Danio rerio: one gene and its partners. The protein of the gene in region 4 interacts with the protein of the main gene of each other region in a pairwise test. Links are inferred from orthologs where the notes say so. Each region holds a gene or a part of one and is shown on either strand. Other genes may lie near its edges. The genes, in order: zc3h10, sf1, vstm2la, atxn1a, rbfox1, mettl17 and sybu.

The links.
Region 1: the proteins of atxn1a (region 4) and zc3h10 interact in binary tests that used the Homo sapiens proteins (3 or more experiments, as listed by UniProt). The link is inferred for Danio rerio from reciprocal best matches to the Homo sapiens genes ATXN1 and ZC3H10.
Region 2: the proteins of atxn1a (region 4) and sf1 interact in binary tests that used the Homo sapiens proteins (3 or more experiments, as listed by UniProt). The link is inferred for Danio rerio from reciprocal best matches to the Homo sapiens genes ATXN1 and SF1.
Region 3: the proteins of atxn1a (region 4) and vstm2la interact in binary tests that used the Homo sapiens proteins (3 or more experiments, as listed by UniProt). The link is inferred for Danio rerio from reciprocal best matches to the Homo sapiens genes ATXN1 and VSTM2L.
Region 5: the proteins of atxn1a (region 4) and rbfox1 interact in binary tests that used the Homo sapiens proteins (3 or more experiments, as listed by UniProt). The link is inferred for Danio rerio from reciprocal best matches to the Homo sapiens genes ATXN1 and RBFOX1.
Region 6: the proteins of atxn1a (region 4) and mettl17 interact in binary tests that used the Homo sapiens proteins (3 or more experiments, as listed by UniProt). The link is inferred for Danio rerio from reciprocal best matches to the Homo sapiens genes ATXN1 and METTL17.
Region 7: the proteins of atxn1a (region 4) and sybu interact in binary tests that used the Homo sapiens proteins (3 or more experiments, as listed by UniProt). The link is inferred for Danio rerio from reciprocal best matches to the Homo sapiens genes ATXN1 and SYBU.

The regions. Positions count from the first base shown.
Region 1 is NC_133181.1:54,969,596-54,973,787, forward strand, and holds the start of zc3h10 (zinc finger CCCH domain-containing protein 10), read left to right. Parts: upstream 1-1,392; 5' UTR 1,393-1,409; intron 1,410-2,610; exon of another isoform or gene 2,611-4,192. UniProt on the Homo sapiens protein: Specific regulator of miRNA biogenesis. Binds, via the C3H1-type zinc finger domains, to the binding motif 5'-GCAGCGC-3' on microRNA pri-MIR143 and negatively regulates the processing to mature microRNA.
Region 2 is NC_133182.1:22,792,832-22,796,331, reverse strand, and holds part of sf1 (splicing factor 1), read right to left. Parts: intron 3,296-3,500; coding exon 3,220-3,295; intron 392-3,219; coding exon 239-391; intron 150-238; coding exon 60-149; intron 1-59. UniProt on the Homo sapiens protein: Necessary for the ATP-dependent first step of spliceosome assembly. Binds to the intron branch point sequence (BPS) 5'-UACUAAC-3' of the pre-mRNA. May act as transcription repressor.
Region 3 is NC_133198.1:46,996,155-47,000,093, forward strand, and holds the start of vstm2la (V-set and transmembrane domain-containing protein 2-like protein), read right to left. Parts: upstream 2,801-3,939; 5' UTR 2,634-2,800; coding exon 2,516-2,633; intron 1-2,515.
Region 4 is NC_133194.1:34,917,448-34,920,947, forward strand, and holds part of atxn1a (ataxin-1a), read left to right. Parts: intron 1-1,081; 5' UTR 1,082-1,393; coding exon 1,394-3,178; intron 3,179-3,500. UniProt on the Homo sapiens protein: Chromatin-binding factor that repress Notch signaling in the absence of Notch intracellular domain by acting as a CBF1 corepressor. Binds to the HEY promoter and might assist, along with NCOR2, RBPJ-mediated repression. Binds RNA in vitro.
Region 5 is NC_133178.1:26,815,796-26,819,855, reverse strand, and holds the start of rbfox1 (RNA binding protein fox-1 homolog 1), read left to right. Parts: upstream 1-1,260; 5' UTR 1,261-1,300; coding exon 1,301-1,333; intron 1,334-4,060. UniProt on the Homo sapiens protein: RNA-binding protein that regulates alternative splicing events by binding to 5'-UGCAUGU-3' elements. Regulates alternative splicing of tissue-specific exons and of differentially spliced exons during erythropoiesis.
Region 6 is NC_133177.1:40,857,928-40,862,161, reverse strand, and holds the start of mettl17 (ribosome assembly protein METTL17, mitochondrial), read left to right. Parts: upstream 1-1,434; 5' UTR 1,435-1,548; coding exon 1,549-1,626; exon of another isoform or gene 1,627-2,045; coding exon of another isoform or gene 2,046-2,051; intron 2,052-3,797; coding exon 3,798-3,936; intron 3,937-4,037; coding exon 4,038-4,187; intron 4,188-4,234. Other genes in the region: parp2 (poly [ADP-ribose] polymerase 2), read right to left, coding at 30-203, 284-487, 953-1,025. UniProt on the Homo sapiens protein: Mitochondrial ribosome (mitoribosome) assembly factor. Binds at the interface of the head and body domains of the mitochondrial small ribosomal subunit (mt-SSU), occluding the mRNA channel and preventing compaction of the head domain towards the body.
Region 7 is NC_133191.1:43,582,123-43,585,364, forward strand, and holds the end of sybu (syntabulin), read left to right. Parts: intron 1-1,052; coding exon 1,053-2,127; 3' UTR 2,128-2,742; downstream 2,743-3,242. UniProt on the Homo sapiens protein: Part of a kinesin motor-adapter complex that is critical for the anterograde axonal transport of active zone components and contributes to activity-dependent presynaptic assembly during neuronal development.

The DNA of each region.
Region 1 (4,192 bases), on a different chromosome or scaffold from region 4:
GGAGTAATAGTGAACTGTTCAAAGTACAGAATATTTTAGTTTATTTTCTCCAGCTGATTATTTCTTTTTTCTTTGATAAAATTAAAGCTTCTAAGTTCTGTTTGTTAAAACCAAAGCTGTCTTGCAGTGCTGTTTTGGTAATAAATGGAAAGCAAATTACATTTGTCTCCTTCCCTTTTTGGCTGATCTGAAAAATGGTCATATCGGTGACTAAACCATAATGTAGTCCGAACCGTGAAATTTGTGATCAATTACACCACTAGTTTTAACCATATTCCTATCATATCTAGTGGATTTAAAATACTTATTCTGGATTTTTTAGTGCTCCGTTTCAATTCAAAGGTGTTTATTTTAATTGAACTTCCAGAAATCTCAATTCAGTATCTCTTCCAAACCATTCATTTTTATTGAAAGGAAATTAGTACATAATATTAATTACAGAAAACACGTCATACATTGGTGATGCTAATCTGTAAGAGTATATCTGTTTTGATCTGTTCACCAATGTTGATTTGCTTGATGTAAAACCACCTTCTTTTCTTTTTCTTCCAGGTTCTGTGCCCACTGCATTCCTGGTCGACAACTGAATCTTTATAAGATTATTGGAAATGAACATTGATGTCTGATGTTCTCATTAATGTAAAAAATAAACTATTGACAACCCTCATGCTGTAGTGAATTATTGGCTCTTGTATGTGAATTAAATGCTGAAATCTTGTGCAGTAGTTTATGTATATTAAAGTTGGAAAATTACATCATTGGAAAATTTATTTTAATCCCAAACTCCTAATTCTGTCCAGATATCTGTTGTTCCAATACATTTTTGTGTGAAGTAATGGATTTTACTCCTTAGAGGTTTATTATTATTATTATTATTATTATTATTATTATTATTATACATTTATTGTTAAGGATCAGATATTTAATTTTTTAAAGCAGCATAAAAGGATGTTTATTGTATCTCTTCAAGTGAAAACAGACATGCCAACTTTTTCTGAGAATGAAATCTTGTACTGTACTGTTTCTGAGTATACTAGATGTTTCTAATGTATGTTCAGTGTCAATAAGAGCACATGTAAACAAATAACACATTATTATTAACATTTCCTTCGCAACATCCCGTTTTTTTACCATAATTTTTAGAAAAATACGGATGTACCATGTCACATCCATGTACTAGCAACATCTCTATTTTGTTGCACGTTTACCCTGACTTGAGGACTTTTATTTTGACGTTCATTTTCCCCGTGAAGTGCTGCACCGGTAGTGCTTCGAAAAAGAAAAGGGGTCATTCATAGAGCAACTTGTGCTATAATGTTAGCACTCGCACTGTTGACACATGCTCCGTTTAGCTAGTAATGTTGTTCAGTTTATTCAACTTCGTTGGTTCGACCGGGTTTGTGGAGCGGGTAAGTTATTAATGGTAATGGTTTAGCTTCGCGTCTTTGTGTCTTGTCTAACGTTACCCGCGTTATCCGGGCCTTTGTGCCTGGAAGTAGACTGCGTGTTTTAACATTACTTCATTAGCTGAGTGTGGATATACTGCAAACTTAACGAAATAATGTCACCAACAATGTTTGTTTACTTATCGGACAACACACTTGGTTGTTCATTCACATTGAGTATATGCCGCAATGTGCTGTTGAAGTATTTGGCGCCTCATAGATTTGACATGACAACACACTGCTAGTAAACAAACAGTCACAATGGTTGTTTATAAAGATATACACGTTTAATATATCAGGTACGACAAGAGGTTGGGGGAAAACATTAAAATAAAATGTAGTTATTAAAATTATTACATACTATATTGATATTATATGTACACACTGCTACAGCTAAGTATATTTGAATTTATTTGGCTATAATAACAAAGGATTGCCAGTCTTTCTCGGTTTACTGCAATCATTAGGTATGGATTCGAGTTGAATGCTAATATCTTATTTGTTCTATAAAAGGCTGTTGTTTCTCCCAATTTCTAAAAAAACAAACAAACAAATTTTTAGCTTATTGTGAGTCATTTCAAGTGTTTTTTTTTTTTTTGAGAATAGCCAACATTTTTTTAAGGTCAATAAAAACGGGGTTATTGATTTTTTTTTTTTTTTATTCAATTCAATTCATCTTTATTTCTAGAGCTTTTTTTTACAATGCAGATTGTGTCAAAGTAGCTTCACATAGAAGATTATAGTGAATTGAAACAGTGTCAGTTCACCAAAATTAAATAAAAAATACCAAATATTGATTTATTAACTCCTTTAAAGTTCAATATAGGGCGAGGCAGTGGCGCAGTAGGTAGTGCTGTCGCCTCACAGCAAGAAGATCGCTGGTTCGAACCTCGGCTCAGTTGGCGTTTCTGTGTGGAGTTTGCATGTTCTCCCTGCCTTCGGGTGGGTTTTCTCCGGGTGCTCCGGTTTCCCCCACAGTCCAAAGACATGCGGTACAGGTGAATTGGGTAGGCTAAATTGTCTGAAGTGTATGATTGTGTGTGTGTGTGTGTGTGTGAGAATGTGTGTGTGGATGTTTCCCAGAGATGGGTTGCGGTTGGAAGGCCATCCGCTGCATAAAAACTTGCTGGGCAAGTTGGCGGTTCATTCCGCTGTGGCGACCCCGGGTTACTAAAGGGACTAAGCCGACAAGAAAATGAATGAAGTTCAATTTACAAGTATCTTGCAAAATGCATTTGGAATAGGATTGTGGGAAATTATTAACATTTACAATAACAAGTGTTTAGTGTTTTGGTGCTGCGTTGTTATCCTTAAAAGTTGTTATCCTTAAGATCCTTATCCTTTAATATATTCTCAAATAATTCTTCTTCTGTTTATTTCTGACTAGGTTTTTTTATTATTAATTTGGAAGCTATTGATCCTTTTCACAAGACAGTTTAATGATCATCAGCATCTTAAATCTTTGAACTTTTTAATACAAAAAAAGTATGAACATTTATATATATTATATCTAGGCATGGGATGATAACCGTTTTCAAAGTATACCGCAGTTTGAAAAAGTTAAGGTTTCAAAAGTTTCTGCAATGCCGTTCCTAAGGTATGTGTAAGACTTTTTATTTACATTTTTTGTTTGATTTTAGGACAACAGTATCTCCAGCAGAAAAGATGCTGTTTTCATTTGTACAAAAACTGAAACAAAAGACGGAAGAAGTCAATAATTTTTGTAGCCTGACACATTTACTGTTCCAAAATATTATAAAGGTTTCTCAAAATAAATTATAGTGTGTTCAAAAGGAAAAAAAGTTTTATTTTTTTTTACCCAGGCATTTAAAAAGACAATATTTTACAACAGTAATCACTATACTGTGAAAACGTGATATGATTATCCAAGGTAATCATATGGTCAGAATCTTATACCGGCCCATGCCTAATTATATCAGGCTGGTGTCCTGCTGAGTATGGCTGTTTCTCAATGTGTGTTCTTCAGTGATCTTGTGTTCTCGTGTAAGTCATAATCAACTGCCAAAGTTCAGTTCTAATAGGGTATATGCCTATCTAGTGTTTTTCCCATATTGATGAACTTCCGGTGACCTGTTATTGTGAACTTTCTTCCATTTTATACGGCTCCTTTCACAGCATTAATGTTGTAATGTCATTGAAATACATTCAGTTAAATAAACTTTGGCATTCATTTAGTTGCTCAAGCGCAAAACGAGACAAAGTCGTTTATTCGCACGCGCCTGTCAGAATCGGCAGGCTAGCGCAGAAGCTCCATTGAATATACTGGGGTAAAATAAATGCTCATATTATAAAGACATGGCGGGGTAAAATGTCATTTAATGCAGTGCTTCTTGTACAATCTGAGACCCACTTTATGTCAGATATTACTTAGCTAGTGGAGATCGCTGATTTTAAAGATGACAGACCTTAAACGCGCCAGTTTTTGCATTGGCATACAATTCGCCTGAAACGCTTAACCCAGGTTACTGGCAAATTGAAAGTCCTATTAGCATGCTTCGCCATATACCCTATACTCAAGACTGTAAAACAGAGGACGCGAGAAAGTTCCCGGCTGTGTTTTTGACATCGAGGATGCGTCGATGCATACTTGAGTGCAAAACTCGCTCGAGAAGTCCAAGAAGTCATTGCGGTTGAATAAGGAGGTGGGAAGCGCAGCAGTTCATATAAATTTATTAATTAAGTACGGAGATATAACTTATTTATCTCAGGAGTGTTCCTAAATGAAA
Region 2 (3,500 bases), on a different chromosome or scaffold from region 4:
TGCGTTGCGCTATCAGTTTTTTAACTTGGGAGTCTCTAGCTCAAAGACACACTACTCACCGTGGCCCAATTAAAAGCCCAACAAAGTTGATCTCTGGATATTCATCCTGAGGAATCATCACCTTATCACTGACCCGTGTTGCCGGTGGTCTGAGAAATAAGAAAAACAATTAAACTACCTGACACGACAGAGCTAAAGAGGTTTACACACACAAAAACAACACTTCTAGTAGCCATACTTGTAGTCAGCTGGAGGTTTGAATTCAGGGTTCAGTCCCACCATCTCTGTAATGAGAGAATGTCTCTCTTCTTCCAGTTTCTTGCGCGTGCGATATTCACGTGTGTTAAGCCGCTTTCCCTCGCTGTTGTAAATGGGCTCAGGAGATGGAGACCTGAGGAAAGGAAAGAACAGAAAGATGCAACGGCGTCAAAATGCAAAACCTGTAATGGTTATCAACAGCTAAACATTCAATGACTTGCCTATTCTGACTGAGATGTGTTTGACTAATTTGGAGGTCATTTAAAAAGTGCATGGGATGCCCCAGAGTGCTCACGTTCTAGTGACAAAAACGAGACGAACAAAAAAAATAACGCACCCTAGAAAACTATATTGAACCATTAGGAAGGGAAAAAAGTTCAGATTAAAAAGTCAGAGAAGTCAGCAGCTTCTATTAAAAAAAACGGTTGCAAAATTTGGGTCTCAAGTTATATTTAAGCATAACTAAAATGGGTTTGTCTCAATTTTTCTGCAGGATGAACAACAGGACAAAATCTGAGACAAACGGGGCAACCAACACACTTGAGCGCCTGTTCTTGAACGCTGATCTAACTCATCACATGCTCTCAAAGAGCATCCCAAATGTTACCTTTCCCTTGGACGGTGCTGAAAACCTGTTAACCTGCACAATGAGGCTCTGTGTTTGAAAAAAGTTACGAGACTGGGAATTTGGGTTAGAGAAATAAATTTGGATTAAATGTTAACCTTCAACAGCTCTCAAACAGTACAGCCACACAAACGTGACAAGTTCATGAGAGGTAACCCGAAGAGGAGAAAAGAGGGTTGGGGGGAGAGAGAAAAGAATGCTCTGCTGGTTTTCTTTTGGGCTGATATCTCCAGCGCTGACAACTTGAAGCACCTCCAGCTTTGTTTTTGGCGAGCTGGAAGTTGATGAGCAATCGTTCCTAAATCCTGGAGTGGATAGACCTTTAAGAAGAGTTGGCGGTGTAAAAACGTCGGATTAAGATTCTGCCGGAGAACCTAAGGCTGTTCAGAGAGCAAGGGATGTGGCTACTAAAAAGACACTCTTACGTCAGAAACATGACATTCCTGCTATGTTGGATGCTTATGAAGTCTATGAGTGGCCAAAGTGATCAAAGTGTTAAGGTTAAGGTTATTCCAGAAAGAAAAGTTCAGAGGAGACTCCTCCGAGCGGTCTTCCAGTGCGGAAATCTGGAATACTGTGGAAGTTCCTGGACAAAATGGTGGTAGCCCCATTATGGAAAACCATTATTGACCATCCAATTAACCAACCATTCAGATTTTTTAATTTAAGGACTTTAATGTGTTTAAGACTGGATTTCGGAGGTTAGAAAAAAAGGGCAGTAATGTAATATATAATCTAATAAAAAATTAATACTTTCAAAAACTTAAATAATGACCGAACCTACTATCTTCAACTACAGCAACTACACTGGGAGAATCAATTAAACTACTGCAGCATTTCTAATAATACACAAGTATCATAGCACATGAAAAAGCATGCAATTAAATATCTACAAAAACAGTTCAGAATAAAAGTAAACAAGATTTACTTTGGACAATCAAAAGAATTGTTGGTTTTATGCCTACACGTTTTGATGGGTCGAGTTAATCATCACTCTGTTAAGATATGTTCTGCAAGACAACTTAATTTCAAAAGCATGTAACACTGGCTAGCCAATGAAAGTCAGATTTTTTTGTATGACAATGTCCTACAATAATAGCCTTTATTCTAATCTTTGCCTCCACATACAAAACAGATCAGATGTTTTTTAAAGGGCCATGAAAAAAATACTACACAACAGTAATAGTTTGATTAAGGTGTTTGCATTCGGAGCAGCATTTTACAGCAGATCTTTTAGTCCTTAATATTGTAGTAACTTCGTAACTAAAACATTTTGACTAAGGTATGTCTTCAAAAAAATAAGAGTACTGCTGATGATACTAACTAACTTTGCCATCTGAATAAACAAACAAAGAACATTGACTGCACACTTACTAAACCTGTAAACATCAAAACTGGAACCAGGTCTTTTTTTCTTTTTTTTTTTAAAAGATGAGTGGCAAATCTAGATTCGTCAATTCATCATTTTCGAAAAGCTCTCGTTTAAAAAAAAAAAAAAAAAAAAAAAAAGTCCCTTACAAACATTTTTGTCGCATGTTAGCAAACCACTGTAATCCACACATGTGGGTCCACATGCGAGCTGTGCTCTCATCACAGGGAAATGGAAACAAAACCTGTTGCGGCACATTTATAAATGCAACACTTACAACTCACGTCTCATAACAATTCTTCTACTTGTTTGAATTATGATTGGCAACACAACATGGTATCTCTCTAAACATTGTAACAGGTAAAAGGGGGCTTCGAAGCTATATCATGCATATTAATGAAGTTGCATCTTGTTTATATTAGAGCACGCTGAATAAAAACTCAATTGTGTCACTTTGTACCAACTGGTACAGACAGCCAATCTCCACGCTGGAATTTACATAATGATCTCATCGCTGTGATGTTGCTACAAAATTTCTCCTTTCAACCCAGGAGAATGAATTTGCTCTAAACAATGCAAAAACAACCAATTTTCATTTTTTAGCTAAATTAATGTGTCCTAATAGCGTTTTTAGCAACGCGAGACACCTATATAACTATCAAGATCTCAAAAAATGTGTTTTGGCATTTCGTGACCCTTTAAAAATACAAAAAGTGTTTAAAACACTGAAAAGTTTAGGTTTGTAATACAATCTATTTAATTACAATAAAAGAACTTTCAAAACTCTTCAATTAAGAGGCAAAGATATGATGTCAGTTAAAAGCAAGGCATTTAAACTTATTTCTGTCACTTAATTACTTACCCCTACATAGACACTAGTACACTTACGAACTGGGCTCACTTAAATTGGCGCATTGAAAAGGTAAAGAAAATGTTACTGTTGGTGGGTTTAAATCGTTATTCCGACCTGTCCTCAGGGTTAACAGGGATTCCCAGGTCTCCTGTACGCAGTTTACGTGTCAGGTCTTCAATCTGCAGTTGGACTGGAAGAAATCAGGTTAGGAAAGAAAAAAAAACAAGGATGGAGAAAAATGTGGTTAACAACAAAAAGACCCCACAAAACCAGAATCAGTACACTGTAAAACTCAATGTGACTAGGGTTAAGCAACAAACAAAAAATTACCATGGTAAATTGACAGTTCACTAAGAATCAAGGTCAAGTAAAGACATTTGATCCTCTGTAGTATT
Region 3 (3,939 bases), on a different chromosome or scaffold from region 4:
TGAACAATGCATTCGCCATCAAGATGCTACAATGATGAATTAAAAATGAGATCTCTTGAAATGCACATAATTGTTCCTTCTGTGAGGAAAACAATAGAAAGGGACTATTTGATTAAACAAATCTCAAGTGCGTCAAAAAATAGCTACTATTAAAGCAATGCAGATTAGCACCATGGCAAAACCCCCAAAAATATCAATATTTAGTAAAAGGCTGTATTTAATTGTGATTATTTCGTACTGATATCACCATCTGGGGTAAAAAGTAACAGCAAAATTCAACCATGTTTCACTGACAAGACTATATAGAGCAACACCATGGTACAAAAACTAAATAAGCACCTTAAATATAGTAATCATTTAATATAGTTCACATAAAAGAACCAGACACGGTACTTTTAACAACATCAATAGAGCATTAGTATGGCCATCAATCAAAAAAGTGTAAAAATACCACAATTTACAGACCATCATTGACCAAAAATATAATTTTACATTCGATTTCTGGACAGTACTGTGATATACAGGGTTTCACACTATTCATTTGTGCTGTCCCAACACAAATCCATTAAGTTAATGTAATAAATACAGGTGGATTGAACTTAAAATAATTAAGTTGTCCAAAAAAGAAAATCAAGAATTGTGTTGTTTCAGCTCATTTTAAATAATCCGTTTTAACAAGCAGCAAAAATGAGTTGTTTTTAGTGTATATGGTTTAAAAGCTATAAAATACTGTGATTTGGAATCTACAGTATTTTGAGGTGCTCAGGTACTTGGGTTTGTACCTCTTAAAGTAACTTGTCGGGAAAAAAAGCTTGTCAGAAGGAAAAACTGATCAGCTTATCTTGTCAATTGTGTCATAAATTTTTCAAAAAGCAAATAAAAAAACATATTTTGGGAGTCTAAAAACCCTGAGTGTGATGAAGACTAGAAGAACATGGTCAAAATGAGTCTAAATCAAGATATAAACGCAAATCATATTCCTGCATAGGTAGGTTTGTGTCTTTTTATGTAAATCATCTGATGAAGCTAAGGAATACCACAGTAAAGCTTACGCCATGGTATTTTGGATATAAATGGGGACATCTAAATTGATCCACATTTAAAACTATTATTATATACAGTTGAAGTCAGAATTATTAGCGCCTCTTTGAATTTTCTTTTTTCGTTTTCAAGGTGTGTCTGATAATATATTTTTCTTTTGGAGAAAGTCTTATTTGTTTTATTTCGGCGAGAAAAAAACCCAAACATTTTACGGACAATATTATTAGCCCCTTTGAGCTCATTTGTTTTCTCGATAGTCTACAAAATAAACCATCGTTAAACAATAACTTGCCTAATTACCCTAACCTGCCTAGTTAACCTAACTACCTTAGTCAAGCCTTTAAATGTCACTTTAAGCTGTATAGAAGTGTCTTAAAAATATCTAGTCAAATATTATTTACTGTCATAATGACAAAGATAAAATAAATCAGTTGTTAGAACTATTATGTTTAGAAATGTGTTGAAAAAAAAAAACAAATTCAGTTAAACAGAAATTGGGGAGAAAAATAAACAGGGGGGCTAATAATTCTGACTTCAACTGTATGATGTTTCAGTGGTAACGATTTAACCATGGTAGTACTATTACACTAATAGAAATACTAATAGTATTTCAATTGATTATTTTAAGTATCTAAAAGTGGGTACTTTGATGCGTGTTTAACACTATACAACCCGGTACCATTAATGACAGTATGCTATTGAAAAATGAACGATTAAACTATTAAACTGGGTGAATCTCACCAAAAAACATGGCTTGTCAGAAAGAAAAAGCAACTACTGTATTTTGCAAGTGATTTAAGCATCATGACAATATTTTGTAGAAGGGGTATTTCGGATATTTTTGATAAGAAGAGGTATTTGATAGTTATCTTTAGCATAATTGTTTTCACATGGTGCAATCTATTATCAAATCATCAATCATTTTACAAAAAAAGCTAACTAAACAACCACATTTCGAGAGTCCAAAAGCATAGACTATAAAAGAATGATTCAGAAAGCAAATAAAATCAATGTTTAGGTTCGTGTATTACTATAAAACAGTATTTATAATATCACCATAAAGCTTGCACAATGTTATTGTAGGATATAAAAGGCTCCATTAGATTGATCCACACTCTAAATCATGTCTTTAACACTAGTAATTTAACATATTCTGTTAAATATCTTAAATTGGGTACATTGGTTTGTGTTAATCACAATACCACCTGAAACCAATGACGGCAAAACCTTTGCATTCCTTGAAGTACTGGTATAGGACATAAAGTACTTTTGAAATACCATGATTTCACCGTCAAATGTCATGTTTCACCTGTAAATAAGCTCAGTGCAGTTGTGTGCTCTGCTGTATATATGTATATATTGGTGATGAACTGCTCTGCGCATCTCCATCATTGTGCAGTTTGCGCGCGGATCGCTTCCCAGTTTCACCCGTACACCGACCACAAACCCGTGAATGTGAACCGGAAAATCTTACCGTTGCTGGATATGTGGTTCTCCACATCATCGCCCCCAGGTTGTCTGACACTGGCACTAAGTTGGATGTAGAGTCCCATACAATGTAAACTCCTCAGAATCACTCCAAACGCGCCCATCACTGCTCCCTGCAAAACACTCTCTCACATCAGGTGAAAATATACGGCTTTAGGAGATAGATCCAGGTGTTGGGCAGTGTTTAATGTTTGGTTTTGTCCCTTAAGGCGAAGGTAGGAGATGCTGAGAGGAGGCTGCGTGCGTTTGCAGTCGCCCACTGATGCGATTTGATTCTCCGCGAAGAGAAACTCCCGGATCTAACCAGCGCGGCGGAGGGATACGTAGTGTGGGAGCGGGAGCGCGCTGGCTGTCATTGGGGAATTTCAATTAGGCGGAATAACATTGTGAAGAGATTTTTTTCAGTTAACGGTCAACGCTCGACGGTCGCCGTGGGTGGAAGGAAAATTACATCTGAAATGCTTCTGAGGTAAATATAACCGGTGACTGTGAATGTAGGCGGTTTTATTTCACTCAACAAGTATGAAATATGGATGGCAGCAGAATTAGATTATTACTAATAATTCTAGTTTGATTGGGCTTGGCTTTTTTCCCCTTCAGTGAACTCCTATACCATTTTAATTGAATGTACATATTGTTTCGAACGGCACTATTATTATTATTATTAACTGTAATAGCTATTATATTTTAAATATTTTAGTATTTTCATCTTAATAAATGTTAATCAATGATCCAGTACTCTATAGCGTATTAAGGAGGCTATAGTGAACTGATAAACTACTGTTTTATACTTTAGTTTTTACTACAGTAAATGGTTTACTAAAGTATGTTGTTTATATGGTTGTAAAAAACTACAGTATTGAGTCACTTATTTATATAACTATAATTGTTGTGTTACAACAGCATCTATAGGCTGAATGTTGAGTGTAGAAATCTAAAATTCAAGTTCTTACACTGAATGAGTAGAAGAAAAAAGGAAAAATACATTACCTCTAGGCGTTTCACCATGCTGGAAATGGAGGGTAAGGTCAAGCACATTGCACTGATACATTTTTCAGCTCTTTTAGTGCTTTGAGTGCATACCAAGTGGCAAACGAAGAAAAAAAAGTAACATTATTCATGCTGCATAAAGTACTATAGTAGTTAGCCATCCTGAAGAAAGAAAAAATGGTTTAAACTACAGATGTAAAACTCGTATAAAATTTATTTGCATCCATAACATAGTTCTATAGTTTTGCCAATGACTGGTGACCAGAAAATGCAGTGGCTATATATTATATATGCATAAATTCTACCATGTTGCCAGGTATTGCTAGAGTTCATACATCAAACCAAAATTATGTCAACTGGTGAGTAAAACGACTTCATATTACTTTTATGATGCTAATATGAATAATTAAACATATTTTG
Region 4 (3,500 bases):
AAAAAGAAGCAGGAAACACTGATTGAGAGAGTGCTGAGAATAAACACCCTGCTCAGCATCAATAGCCGTCAATCACTGATGTTCAGTCGTTGTGTAACCATTCTACTCTACTTTGACTTAAGAGCAAACACAGAGGACATTCTCCTGCTGTTTGTATTCAGCTAAGGACTGCTGTGTCTACTTTAAGAGATGGTATTACCTTTGTGAACCTAAACACAACCTCTACTATGTATTAGTATTTCCTTTTAGTGTTAGTATATATATATTATTTCCTTGTGGTACATACGCTACTTCAAAGAATATTATAATAGTACCATGTCTAAAGAAGCATTGTTTTAACATGTCCAAACAGTTGTAGTACAGTCTTGGCATCATATAGTAATACAAAGATACTTGCATAAGTCTCAGTACCATGGTACATGTCCAAAAAATTAGGTAGTACTGTTTGGTGGTACTTTATGCTATTTTTAGTAGTGTCCAAATTAAAGGGAGGGTTTCGCTTACATCGGTATCTGCCTCCTCTTTTATAGCACTGCGACACTTGTTAAATCATCTGGGCCTGTTTATCATGCAAAACCATCCTCCCACTAGTGCTGGACAACAGACGCAGCTGAATGGGTCCAATCAATAGAGCTCAGGGAGGAATGTCAAACAAGCCGTAACACTGCACAGCATCATTGTTTTGTCACGTGTCTCCCCATACAATCTAGAGTAGGAGGAAGAGGAAAAAGAAACTGTGCTAGCTTTCTTATTTGATGGACAATTTTTAACTTAACATCCAATATAGAGAGACAGTTCTAACTTTCCTAATATACTTATGCATTTATCAGTTTGTTGAGGCATGTTATTTTACAATAAATATTTGTTGAGCTGCTGTTAAGATAGTCCTCTGTAAACGACTGCAAGCTATTTGTCCATTCAGCACCACTGTGGCATAGAAATAAATCCTGATGCACAAAATATTTACAGCCTTCATTTTTTGGTTTCTCATTTTCTTCAGTTTACATGGCTTTATCATCTAAAAGCTGCTGAAATTATGTTTGTGCATTAAACCTGATTATGTTTCTTTATTATATTTCAGGTTCTTCCTGCAGTCCTGGAGACTCTCTCTCGGAAGGAAATGATTCCACATGAATTGCATGGACCGCTCTCCCGCAGCAGGTGTGACTTCAATTGCTTAAGACTGAAATCTGTGTCAATCCGACCATAGGCACAGGACACATCCCCTCTCACCACCACTCTCCTCTCTACCCCATTCCCATACTCGCTCCAAGCCAATCAGTAGGAGGGCACACTCTGTTAGCAAGACAAACGGAGACCAGGAGGGAGAGGAAAAGAGCCAAAAAAGGGGAAAGAAAAATCCGGAAAGAGTGGTTCAAGATTTTCAGACACCATGAAGTCAAACCAGGAGCGGAGCAATGAATGCCTGCCCCCAAAGAAGCGTGAAATCCCAGCAAGCACTCTGCCCTCAGAGGAGAAGCCCATGGTGATGGCGCCTGCCAATGAGAGCCAGCGTGGAGGGAACCTGGCTTGGCTTGCCAGTCTGGCCAGTGGGCATGACAAAGGCCGGCTGCACACCAGCACGTCTGCAGAATCAGATGGGCCTCAATATAAACCATTGTCAGCCACGGCTGAGAGCACACCTTCCTCGTCCACACACTCAACCAGAGCTCTATCTGCAGTGACCACCATACCTGCAGTGTACACATCACCTCTCTCCCATTCTCCTAGCGCAATCCAGTACACACCCCTCCCTCACAATATACACTTCATCAACCCTCCTTACTCTGCACCATACGCTGGCTACATCTCTCCACTAGCTCCCCCTTTAGCTGCCACCACTACCACACAACGTGAGATTTATGCCAGCTCCTCCAGTTCTCCAGCATCCAAAATTGATCAGCACCACCAATTGGGCCGTCCTCAAGGCCTGGTCACAACTGACAACACCTCTTCACCTCACTCCACTCAATATGTTCAAATTGCTGGTTCTCCACTAAGCATATCCCCTCGAACTGTTTCGTCACCGCATACACACTTGCCCCTACATTTACATCCTCACCACACACTTCCCCTTAGTGGCCCTTCACAGGTCTTAGTCCCATACACAGAAAGTCTTTTACCCAAGAGGGAGGAGATGAGGACCAGGGAGTTGCTGAATGGAGAGCTGGAGAAGGACAGACGTTTTGGTCCATCTTCTGAGTCCAGTGCAGGGAAGCAGGGCAGCACTGCCAAAGGGGGTTCCTCTGCCCAGCAGCACCAGATCCACCAGCAGCAGAGCCCACGTCACTTTGAAGCTCGACATGTTGTGCTACCTGCCGAGTACACGCAGGACAGCACAGCCATGAGGACCTCATTGGTGCTGGTACCTAATAATCATAGCTCCACTAGTGCTGATTCTGGAGGTGCATCAGACAAGCTGCCTCCCTCGACATCCCACCATGAAAAAGGAGGGATTTGTGCTGGCAAACCTGTCTCCCGCAGTTCCTCCTTATCTTCCTCCCTTTCATTTGCTCTTCCCCCTCCACCTGTGGACAATCTTAAGGGAGCAGTTCCAGCGCAGTCTCCTCATGCAGTCATTCAGACCACACTTAACAGCACAGAGTCACTCTCTCTAAGCCTCCCCTCCACTAATTTCTACTCCACCCAGCAGCCTATCATTGGTTACTTTGCCGGCACAGGGCACCAGCAGCCTCTCAGCTACCACACCACCTTACCCCAGCACTTGGTCATCCCTGGAACTCAGCCGGTCATCATCCCAGTAAGTGGAACTGAAGCTACCGCTACATCAACTGCTGCACTGCCCCATGCTTTCGTCACCTCAACAGCCCCCAAAGTGGAAACTTTTGAATCTCCGGCTCCATACCCCCACCCTGCCACAGCTATGGTTCAAGCCCAGTTGCATTTGCCTGTGGTTCCAGCACCTGCTGGCCTGCTGACAACTCCACCCCCACCCTCAGCTCCTTCAATGCCACCCTACTTCACCAAGGGCTCCATCATCCAATTGGCAGATGGGGAACTGAAGCGGGTGGAAGACCTGAAAACAGAGGATTTCATTCAGAGTGCTGAGATTAGCAACGAGCTGAAGATTGATTCCAGCACTGTAGAGCGCATCGACAGCAGTCATACAGCTAACTTTGCTATAATACAGTTTGCTGTAGGAGCGCAACGCTCACAGGTGGGTTCATAAGTTTTCTATTTAACATTGCTGCTTGTAGACACATCTGAGTATCTGTTTTTCTTATGCACAAAGATAAGCGGGGAAATAAACTTGAGATTGATGACTATGTGATATTAATCAAACACTGTGTACCATGTCTGCACGTGGTAGTAAAGGGTTTATTATTAAAAAAAAAATCTAATGGAGTTGACCTTTGCCTAAGTTTTAGGTGTGTGTACAGCAATTATATTGTCCTCCATATATTATATATTGCCAATCTTTATGAACCATAACTTCCGTTTGTTTCTTGCCATCTCTGAAATTAGCATTTTTAACGAGT
Region 5 (4,060 bases), on a different chromosome or scaffold from region 4:
ACACACACACACACACACACACACACTCATACACTACAGACAATTTAGCCTACACAATTCACCTGTACCACATATCATTGGACTGTGGGGAAAACCGGAGCACACGAAGGAAACTCACGTGAACGCAGGGAGAACATGCAAACTCCACACAGAAACGCCAACTGAACTGACCCAGCTGAGGCTCAAACCAGCGACCCAGCGACCTTCTTGGTGTGAGGACCTTCTTGGTCAGCACTACCTACTGCGCCAATGCGTCGCAAAAATTATAATTTTTTAATTTAAAAATTCCATTTGTTTTAAACACGTTTAGAAAAATCACTTGATTTTATAAACTTTATGCAGGTCTCCTCTGATACTACCCCAAAAATAAATAATAATAGTAATTAATATTATTATTATTAGTAGTAGTAGTAATAGTAGTAGTATTACACTGTAAAACCCGAAAGGTTAAGGTAACTCAAACCATTTTAGGAAACCAATTGCAACAAACCATTTAAGTTCAAAAACTAATCCTAATGAGTACTGTGACTTAATCCGTAGTAAATGATAATACACTCATTTCATTTCATAAAGTTGAATGTTGAGTTTTTACAGTGTATTATTATTATTATTATTATTATTATCATCATCATTATCATCATCATCATTCTTTTGTGTTGATTATATTTTAGATTTCTAGGCTTTAGAGCAAATCTAAATTTGTTATTTTCTTTTATTTTTACTGTAACAGCATATGTACATTTTTTTTTACTTTTTTTATTCTATAACTGATTTATAAATATTAGATTTTTCTATTTTTAAATTACTATAAATTTGTATTAGTTTATTCATTCATACATTCACACATTGATTTATTATATATATTCCAGGTTCCTTATATCTTTAAAAAAAAAAAGAAACACCAGAATTAATTGTTTATTTTCCCAAGTTCATGAAGCAGTACAATCCCTTAAGCCGCACATTCACAAACAACAAGGGCAGCTTTCACATCATTTCACATTTCACAATCTATACATCACAACTCTGAATTAAATGTACTTCTCGAGCTCACCAAACGGCCTAGCGTTTCAGAGGCTCACACATTAGTTATGAACAGAAAGAGAGAGAGAGAGAAATTTTGGAGCCCAGCTTTCACTTGCATTAGTTCCCTCCTCCTTCTCCACCCCTCCCTTCCCTCCCACTCACATACTCACACACTCACTCGCTACACACACAGCGCCGAACACACACCCTCATCTATAATTGATGCTTGCTTTAGGCAGATGCTGCAGGGATTGGGACTAAGGCAGCTGCTTAGTTTATGGAGGAAAAAGGGAGCAAGATGGTGGAACAGGTATTTTTTTTTCTCCTGTTATTCTGCTTACCAAGCGCATTACTGCATTTTTTTTTCCTCCTCCTGCCCGTCTTGCTTTTGTGCTGCGGCTGCACAGTAGAGCGGGGCGGCTTGTGTATGACAGCATTTGAGTGTGTGCGTATGCGTGTGTGTGTGAGAGAGAGAAAGAGTGAGAGCGTGCGCTTTGAAGAAAGAGGGAGCCCCCTTCAGCAACTCTTTTTCAGGCTGCCTTATCAGCAGCTGTTTTGCTTTCTATCTCTTCTCCTCGTACCTTCTTTTTCCTTGCTGGTTTTCCATCTCCAAGCTTCATTTCGGGTCGATCCAAATGGCTAAACTCACAAATGTTGGCAGGCACGATCATTTAAATGAGCCGGGTTCCGTCATCCACCCTGAGAGATGGAGCGAGAGAGTTTGTCGGGCTGCTCTTCAAACGCTTTATTTGGCCAAACACAAGCGCTCCGAAACGTACACCGTTTTAGTGCCTCTGCGCTCCACCTGGCTTTCCATCATTTTTAAGGCATCAGCATGCGCTTGAACTCATCGCGACCGTTTGCGAAATTTAGAGCGAGGGAGGCGTAGGACTGGTTGTGTGTGAAATTATGTTTGCAAAGTGTTGTAAAAAGCCCTTTACCAAAACAAAGCTGCGTGTGTTTGGTAAGTGTTTGCCTGGAAGCTGAGCGCAGTGAAGTGATGAATCCAGCGCGCTGCCACGTAAAACATATTTCAGTCCTCCAAATGTGGTTCTCATTAGGGTGGAGGCCAAAGCATTTAGCTAAGCCTGACTGTCTGCCATTCCTTTTTATTTTTTTTTTTCTCTCAGTGTTTGCCAACAGCTATTTTACGAGGGCCTCCAAAAAAAAAAAAACCTCTCTTGACTATTATGACCACAAATGTAGAGCCTCCCAGTTGACTTGCACCGGCAGGGGCTTCCCACACCGCCGAGGCACCTCTGTCTTTTTTGCTGACTTTCCTTCCACCCTCCCTTTAACGTTTCTGACACTTGTGCATAAAGAGTTTAGCACTCCTGATCAAATGATAGTCTAATTATGGCATGGTGTGCCCGCTCTTGAATATCAATGTGTTACGCAAAGTGCTGATGGTGTTAATGGGAAACAGCGTGATGTGTGTAACATCTGCTTAAGGAACAGCAGGGATTTTTTTTTACAAGGTCCCATTTACAGAGTAGCAAGTTGCGGCTTCCCTCCTGGCTCTCCTCGACTCGTTCTCAACTTGCCAAGAATGAAAATCCTGTCATTATTTACATGTCATTCCCAAGCTGACTTGGGAGGAATCCAAAAGGTGAATTTTTGGAAAACGTCTTGGCTGCTCGTCGCAGCACTCGGATTTACACTTTTGACAAACACTTTCATCCAAAGCGACTTACAATGTGTGCATTTTTTCCGGCCTGATGTCTAAAGGAAAGTAACTATTTTATGTGTTGTCAGAGAAGTGGTTAGTTTGTATGAATTTGTAGGATTTCACGTCCTAAATCCCTAAATCTACCCCTTAAAAGGGGATGAGCAAGTCATATTAAAATGTGATCATACCAATTAGCCATTAAATCAAAAAGTAATGAGTGATGAGATTTGAAACGTAAATTTTAAAAGACTGTAAAAAGTGAACTCATCAAAAAAGGGAGTAAATCCATTGCCTTAAAAGTGACAAGTGGATTTTGCTTGAAAATTCTTGTAATTCTTGTAATTCTGTGGTTTTACATTCACTTACTTGATTTTTTTAATCATCTTCCTCAAACCTTTAAGGCAATGGGTTTACTTAATTATTTAAAGTAAAGTCAACTAATTGCTTTTTACAGTGTACCCACTTGTTTTCATTGGCCTATTGGGAATTTATTTTTGTCAGTTTTATGCCTTATATGTGTTTCTTTATTCTCACCATCTTTTTGTATTTTTAGTTTTATGATGCTATAAAGCACTTCAGTCGTCAGTCTTGTGGCTGTTTTAACCATTAATTAAATGAGAAAACGTGAAACTTGAACATAATCTTGATGATTAGCAGCAACATGTTCAGTTGTTAGAGCAGTGAATGGGAATAGCAGCTGTCAAGCCTTGAAGGGATAGTTCACCTAAAAAAAAAAAAAGAAAATTTTGTCATAATTTACTCAACCTTTGCGTGATTCAAACCTTTAGGAGTTTCTTTCTTCTGTTAAACAGAAGAAAAAGACAATGTGAAGAAAGCTGAAACTGTTAAACAGTACAGAGAAAGGTTTGGAACCACTTTAGGGTGAGTAAACAGTGAGTTCATTTTCATTTCTGGGTAAACTCTCCATTTAAAAAGGTACAGCACAGTTAAAAGTACAGTAAAACTGCTATAAATGTGGACCATGTGATGTCAGTGGCCATATACACTACTGTAAATCTAAATTTAGATATTATTTTAGAAATAAAGGTACAGCATGTGGTATGGCTTGACTCATGAGTGTTGCCAGATCTTCCTTGATAAAAAAAAGGAAAAAAAAAAAACAAAAAAAAACAACAGGAATAAGAGTAAGTCCATGAACATAAACTAAAATTCTTTATCATATTAATAAATAAGACTAAAATATATAGAAGTGTGCACTGCAATCATTATTTTAAACTGGAACATCATTTATAATAAGTGGACATGGCAGCACTTCGAGATCGTGCTGTAGAGATCAGCCTTACAAACATAAACAAAATGCCTCTGTTCACTGTGGTTTAGTTAAAATTACTAACCATAATGAATTTC
Region 6 (4,234 bases), on a different chromosome or scaffold from region 4:
TGCTAAAATTAATTCGAGGGAAGCATCACCTTCACATTCTTCTTTTACCACAGGTTTGTCTTTGTTCGCTTTCTGACTCCTCCCTTCATTGCGTCTCTTCTTGGAAACGGGCTGCTCCTCTTCCTCCTCTTTTTCTTCTTTAATCTGAACAACACCTGTTGCTTTTTTATTACCATTCAAAGCATTCCCTTCATTCAGATCTTCTGCAATAAAACAAATCAGCTGCTGTTAGTTTCCTGACCCAGAGGCTTATTCAGTCACATACAGAAGCACGCAGACGTACCTGACTTCACTTTCTGAAGGCGTATTTTTCGTTTGTACTTGCTGACAGTATTAGTCTGAGTCATTTTCACAAGATCCACTACGTAACCAGGTCCGAGCGCAAGCGAAACAGACTTTTCACCAGCCTGCTTTGCTGCATCCAGCTGTTCGCAGACCTCTGAAGGATACGGTTCCCATTCATCTTCATCCCCTTTCCACTGCCAAACTAAAAACATTCATAGTTCATAATCATTCATAATGTAAAAATATGCAAATCTGAAATGAAAACAGTGCAAACATATTATTTATTAATGTTTTAATGGCTTATCAGCAACACTGGCTATATTCATGGCAACATCGGTAATACATATTCACTACTTAATATACAAATAGGTTTCTTGATAAACAAACAAACAAAAAAACACACAAAAAACAAACAAAACACACAGTCAATGATTCTACATATTAAAATTCTTCCAGGGGACTGTCACATCTATAAACTCAAAGTGATTTAATGGTTAAAACAGTCATGCTGGGGTGGCTGTGGTGTACATTTATATATATATATATATTTACTTGGAAAAGCAGTCAATGTAAATGTGCAGAGCTTCAGTGTATGACAAAAAGTCTTAAAATGCTGATTGTGTAACTTTGGGTTGTTTTGGCATGTTCAGAGAAAGCGAATTCATACCCGTCTTCGCCTCTGAAGCTTCACTGCCTGAATCTGCCACAGACTTGTCCCTGCAACTCCTTGTTCGTCGCATGTTCCCGGAAAACAGCTAAAATTAGGAGAAAACGTCAAAAGAGGAAACGTTTCCGGTGTATCACACGTTAGCAGTGAAGGTATGGGTGTGACGTAAAATTCCTAGTTATGTAGTTAGGAGGTGGTGAATTATGACATGAGTCACCATAGTGATGTATTCACTTCCTAATAACGTAAGTTAACGTTAGCCCGGAGTCTTGCGGCAAAACACGTTTCGGAGAACAAAATATAGGATAACATTACGCTTTATCCCGCTAAAATGTAAATAATGATAAGATTAAAATAGTTTTCAACACTTACCTCAGATCACAGAGCACAACTGGGGCGTTTTAAATGGCGCGAAAAGTATAACAGAGCGGACTCCTGTCTAGGAACGAATTGACCGATTTGTTTCTACACGGATTTATTTTGAAGTCGGTAAAACGACTGCTTGAGCATGCGTCCGTACACCGATGTTACCATGTTGTGTTGTCTTTAAAGTAGAATTTCATTTGTACGCAGGTTTTAATAAACGAGAATAAAGCATGCATTTACTGGGAAGTCGAGTGTTTGTGAAATGTTCAAGGTGCCATGTGGCTTTGTCTTTGAAAGAAGCGATCCGGGTGAGTAATATGTCAGTCAAACTTCCATGTCATTCTTAGTAATAAATGATGTGAAAAGAGCGGAGGGAGAGTAGTCTGAATTGGGTTCTAGCATGTTATGCTAGCTCACACATCGCACTCATTCGCCAGCCGCGAGTGTTTCCAAGTCTGCGCGCGTCATTCAGTTGATCCGCTGAATGTGTGCGAGCATCAACGTCTGCTGCGAGAGTCGCGCGCGTGACCCGATTTTCTGTGCACTCGCTCATCATTCAGATGATGTCCTGCTAGGTCAGCGAGGAGCTCCTGTCTCAGACCTTCCCCGAGGTGTTGGCGAGTGACGAGCACTCAGTAAGTGACCTCTACAGTGAGCTTCCTTTCGCTGAAGATTCAAGTGAGGATAGTCTGATATATATAGGGCGTGATCAGGGCTATTCGTTTCGATGATGGTGAGAAATATACTAATAATTTATTTAGTTTGTTAATCATTTGTAATTAATATATTTGTGTGACCTTAATTATTACCTGAGAAAATGTTTTTTGTCAACTAAATGTATTGTATGAATGGTTTAAACACTATCAAATGTTTTGAGAACGAGAATGTGTTCATTGCTCTGCAGTGATTGGTTAAATTTGTGATTGGTAATGAATGTGGCCTGGCTACTTGATGATAAATGCCAGGCATAATTGCTACCCAATAAATACCAAATTTGTCAAATTTAATAACAATATTTCCCATACATACTCATTTTGTACTCAATATGATGAAACACTAAGTCATTTATTTTGGGAGTGGATTTACTGTAAAGTGTTTTGGGTTGACTTCCAATTACATCAAAAGAAATTCTTATTTCAAAACTTTTATATTTCCCCAAAAATATTTCTAGTATTTCTAGTATTCTAGTATTCTTTCTATTCCTACTCTCTGAACTTAGATCCCTCTTATTGTAAATGTATTATTTATTATCTCATGATTTATTTATTTTTTTTGGCAAAATTTTACATCCACAAATTTACATTTTCTAAGAAACACCCTGTTTAATTTTAGAAAGGATTTATTTGTAAACTCTGTGAAATACTCTAATAATTATATTGCCAGTAAAACTCTTAGTGTAAATCATTTTAACTTGCTTAATTTGCTGGAATTTTATTTATGTAACCGTTTTTGTCTCTTTGTTCATATTGTATCTTTGTAAATTTTCTTCCTTGCATGATAAAAAAAGATAATGGCAGGCATATCTATAAAAGCACTTTCTTTAAAGCAGTTAGAAACACTAATTTAAGCACTGCTATTGCTCTTTTCCTAAAAGAGCAGTTGTAGTGAAAAGTTTTTTTATGTAAAGTTAAAACTTTACATAAAATTTATAGTAAAATGAAAACTAATGAAAGTATGAATAAAACCATATTTCTTTACAAATGATACTAATAATCTTTAATGACAAAATATGTAAGATCTTTATTTAATTTCACTAGAAAAGTGTTATATTTTTTGCTGACTTTTACACTTACAGTATTTCCAGTGTTTTGAGGAATGTTCAACTCATTCTAAAAATAAGCAATTTTAACTAGTGACACATGCTAATGACATCATTCACCCTCGATTTTCAGTCGTTTTATAATTTAACTCAATTCATCTTTATTTCTATAGCGCTTTTACAGTGTAGATTGTGTCAAAGCAGCTTTCTAGTGAATTGAAACAGTGTCAGTCCAGTTTTCATTGTTGAAGTTTAGTTTAGTTCAGTTCAGTGTGGTTTAATTTTCACTGCTGAGAGTTCAAACACTGAAGAGCAAATCCATCGATGCCCAACTCCACAGGTCCCGAACCATGCAAGCCAGTGGCGACAGCAGCAAGGAAAAAACTTCACCTATAGAAAAACACCAAAGATGCTTAATATGCCTTGCATTTTATTAGACTGCACATAGTAGCAATATAACAGAATCATAAAATGTATTTAATATATAAAATGTATATACTCATCCTTGTTTCTTATTTAACACAAAAAAGATAATTTGAAGAATGTTGAAACCCGGTACCCATTAACTTCCATATAAGGAACAACAAATGCTATAGCCAGAACTACCTGGCTGTAATTCTGCCAAAAAGATACCCTTCAACCACTAACCATTATTCAAAAAAAATTATCAGAATTATGTGATACTGAATAAGTCAAATGTGCTTCTCATTGTCTTGAAAGTGTCAGAGTTCCGCAGCACCTCTGGAACAGGCCGACTACCTGAATGGCGCTCCTCACAGAAAACACCCGGGTGTTACAAACCTGAAAACAGTGCAACTGCCAGAGCAACTGCAGCTAGCAGCACAGTCCATCTTACAGAGTGAGGAACCAATGATCTGCCAGCCTCAGTATTAAAGATTATGTTTTCTGAATTGACATGCTAAAGTAGTGTGTTTTATATGCTTTTTATTTGATATGTAGGGGCCGATGTAAAAAGTCTGACGGAAAGGGCACAAAAACTCTCTAACTTCCTTTGGAGCAGGAAGCGGGTGATAGAATCTTCACAGCTCAGGGAGAAAGCCATCATTCTGGAGAGGAAATTTTTGGAGGAAGAGAGAAATGTCAGTGAAAGTGAGTTATTGATAAAAGACAAAATGGAGAAATGTCAACACTGTGGT
Region 7 (3,242 bases), on a different chromosome or scaffold from region 4:
GTATATAGTCACATGTCTTGTGTTTTCTATAGTTTTTGGGTGAACTCTGCACGTTTGCTGTAAATAATTTGGGCATTCTGCGTTATTTACACTGTACAACGATAATTTGCTTATGTTTGTGTGTTTGAATTGACTTTGTATGCAACTTACTTGCCCAAATTCTTAATTCCATGTTTCGTGTGAACACAACATAAGCTTTCATCACTGCCTCATGACTCTGCAAGTTCTTAACATTACATCACAGTGCATTTTTGCATTTACAGTTGTCACTTTTTATTCACGGGAGTTATGTTCTAAATATAGCCCGCAATGGGCAACCTGTAAAGTTATTATAGATGTTTTAAGGCTGTAAAACCCCTCACTACACCTTTTATACACTTTTTCTTAGACCGACAATAAAATTTTCACACTTTTCACTCTTGTTTAAGCACTCTCAAAGTTCAAACTTTCATAGAAAAATAAGTCCAGTTAATAGAATGCACATGATAGTTGGAAGTAACACAAACTGGACGCGCATATTCGCATGTTATTTAAAATGAAATTATTCAGATGGCACTTTGTGGCATGACAAAAATATGAACAGTGTACTGAGTCGTAGCTGGGCACCACAGACAGTCCCCGACTTGCAGCGCCGGTGTGTGTACCTTGATATAAACCCATGTTTACAATTTTAAAATGCATGGCATTGTGTGGCGTGGCACATCCGGTATGGCCCCATCGAAGATTTGTTAATTTAGTGAACTAGGCACATTTTGTACTGTACAGAAGATACAGAGAAGATTGATTGACAATGATCTACAGCCAATCCGGACGCAGAACACAATGCGTTGTAAAAAAAAAAAAAAAACGCATGTCAAATTGTACAGAAAAAATCCACGAAATGGCAAGGCCACAAAACTTGAACTGCATCATGGCGAGTGATCACTGTACATGTGAACTTTATTATTATTTTTTTTTTAATATAGAAAAAATACCCATGTATGTATGGCCATTGCCTAAATATGAATCATTCTGAATTTCCTCATCAATTGTTTTAATTTGACTGGTTACAGGGAGTCTGAGATTGAGGAACTGAAATCTCAACTGGGACGTATGAGGGAGGACTGGATAGAGGAGGAATGTCACCGTGTTGAAGCTCAGCTGGCTCTTAAAGAAGCCCGCAAAGAGATCAAACAGCTGCGCCAAGTGGTGGAAACCATGAAGAACAGCCTGATGGAGAAGGACAAAGGCATACAGAAGTACTTCATTGATATAAACATCCAAAACCGGAAGCTGGAGTCCTTGCTCCACAGCATGGAGTTGGCGCAAAATGGATGCAACTTGCAAGATGAGCCGACGCTGGATTTTATCTGCGAGGCTCCAGAAAGTTCTACCGAGGCGAAGATGGAGCTGGAGCTACATTGTGGGGAGCAAGCAGTGGAAGAAATGGCGAATAGTGAGCTGCTCATCAATGATGAGATGGTCAACAGAGTAGAGATTCTCATGTCAACCGCAGTCGATTCCAGCCAAGATGGAAGCACCAAGATCATCTCCCAACCAGGACTTTCCTGCTTGGAGCCGAGTGTTTCAGAAAAGAGCACCAAAGAGCATGTCTCAAGCATTCCAATTGGTGCAGAAGATAAAGGTATTCAGACTGATGATGTGATCTACAGCACTGATCTCCAAACACTGCTTTACCAACTGCTAAAGCTCCAGGGTGGGGGATTTCCAGGCCTCCTCGTTCCTTCTCCCAACCAATCCCATGATATCTCTTCAGCACAGGCTCCCAAAAAGTCACAAAAGGAGGAGTTACCTGAAGCACACGAGCAAGATGTTGCCATCAGCACTGCCCAAATTATTCCCAGTGATTCTGGTTTGGGTTTTTCCGAGCCTGAAGTGGGTCCAGAGTTTATGGAGGAGATGAATTCGAAGAACAAGGCAGTGGTTGGGAAGAACCACTGGAGCAACAACTTCTTTGTGGATTTGGTTGCTGTTGCTGCACCCGTCCTGCCCACCGTGGCTTGGCTTTATTCGCAGCATGGTTTGGTGGGAGGGGCTCCGGTCTACAACATAGCTTCATTGATTCGAGGCTGTTGTGTTATGGGATTGCACTCGCTCCGTCATGTGTCTCACGGGCCGGACACTTAGCGGCCCTCACCTACTTCTACAACAAGAGCACTTAAATCTTCATCTTCAAGTATAAATCGTGTTTTGTACACTCGTGATTTGATATGCATAGTTTCTGTTTAGCTGCATCATTCCTATTTGCACTGTATTTTTGCCACAAAGGATGAATTCAAGGGGATATCAAGGGACTTGTTTTGTCTTATTTCTGTTATTTATTGACCTTTTTGTTTGTTTATTTATAAATATTTTTGCATAATCTGATCATCTTGGTAGGTGGTTATGTTGCTCGAGTCTTATTTGCTGACTGCGATTCCCTGCTTTTTATAAAAGAGTCAATAGGGGTTGACTGTCAGTTAGTTGCGACTTTTTTTTTGTTGTTGTTGTATAGTTAAAGCATCACTAGTGTTCCAAAAGAACTGAAACCTTCTGCCAAAGCTTCAATGTGTTCAGCGTTTTGTGTTAAGTGAAACTGTGTTTCTCTCCTTTGGAGTTTAGAGCTATTATGTGTTTCCTGAAAAGCAACACTTGCCACAGTACAGCGAACACTTGTTATGTGCCTGAGCTATGTGCAATATTTTTGTTAATATGATATGTATATCATTATATTTATTATTAAAGCATGGAAAACCCCTTCAAGAGTGGACTTTTTGTTTTGTGTGGGAGGTGCTTGTCTTATGTCTGTTTCCACTGAGTGGTATGGTTCGGTATGCTTTTATGGCCGTACCACTTTTTGGGTACCCTATGCGAAGGGTACCTACCACAACAAAAGGGTACCAAAAAGCGGAGCTAGACACGCAACTGGACGCTATTTGTTTGGAGATGCATCGTTCGCTCGTGCAACAAGCCAGAATGATAAAGGAACTGCCATGTTTCAAATACACAGCTGATACATTACACCGTAATAATACATACAGAAAATAACGAGACATGGTAGACCTGAGTTCAAACAAACCTTGACGTCGTCTTGATAAACAGCTACAAAGCCAAGAAGAAGAGCAGAATTCACCCTGTGCCCCGTCGTTTTTTTACAAGGCCGTCTAGAGGTTTCGCTTTCTAGTGTGCACTCGTTGCGTGTCTATACTTAAAATAACAAACTTCTTGATCTGATAATAATAACGTATGCATGATTATTGAAG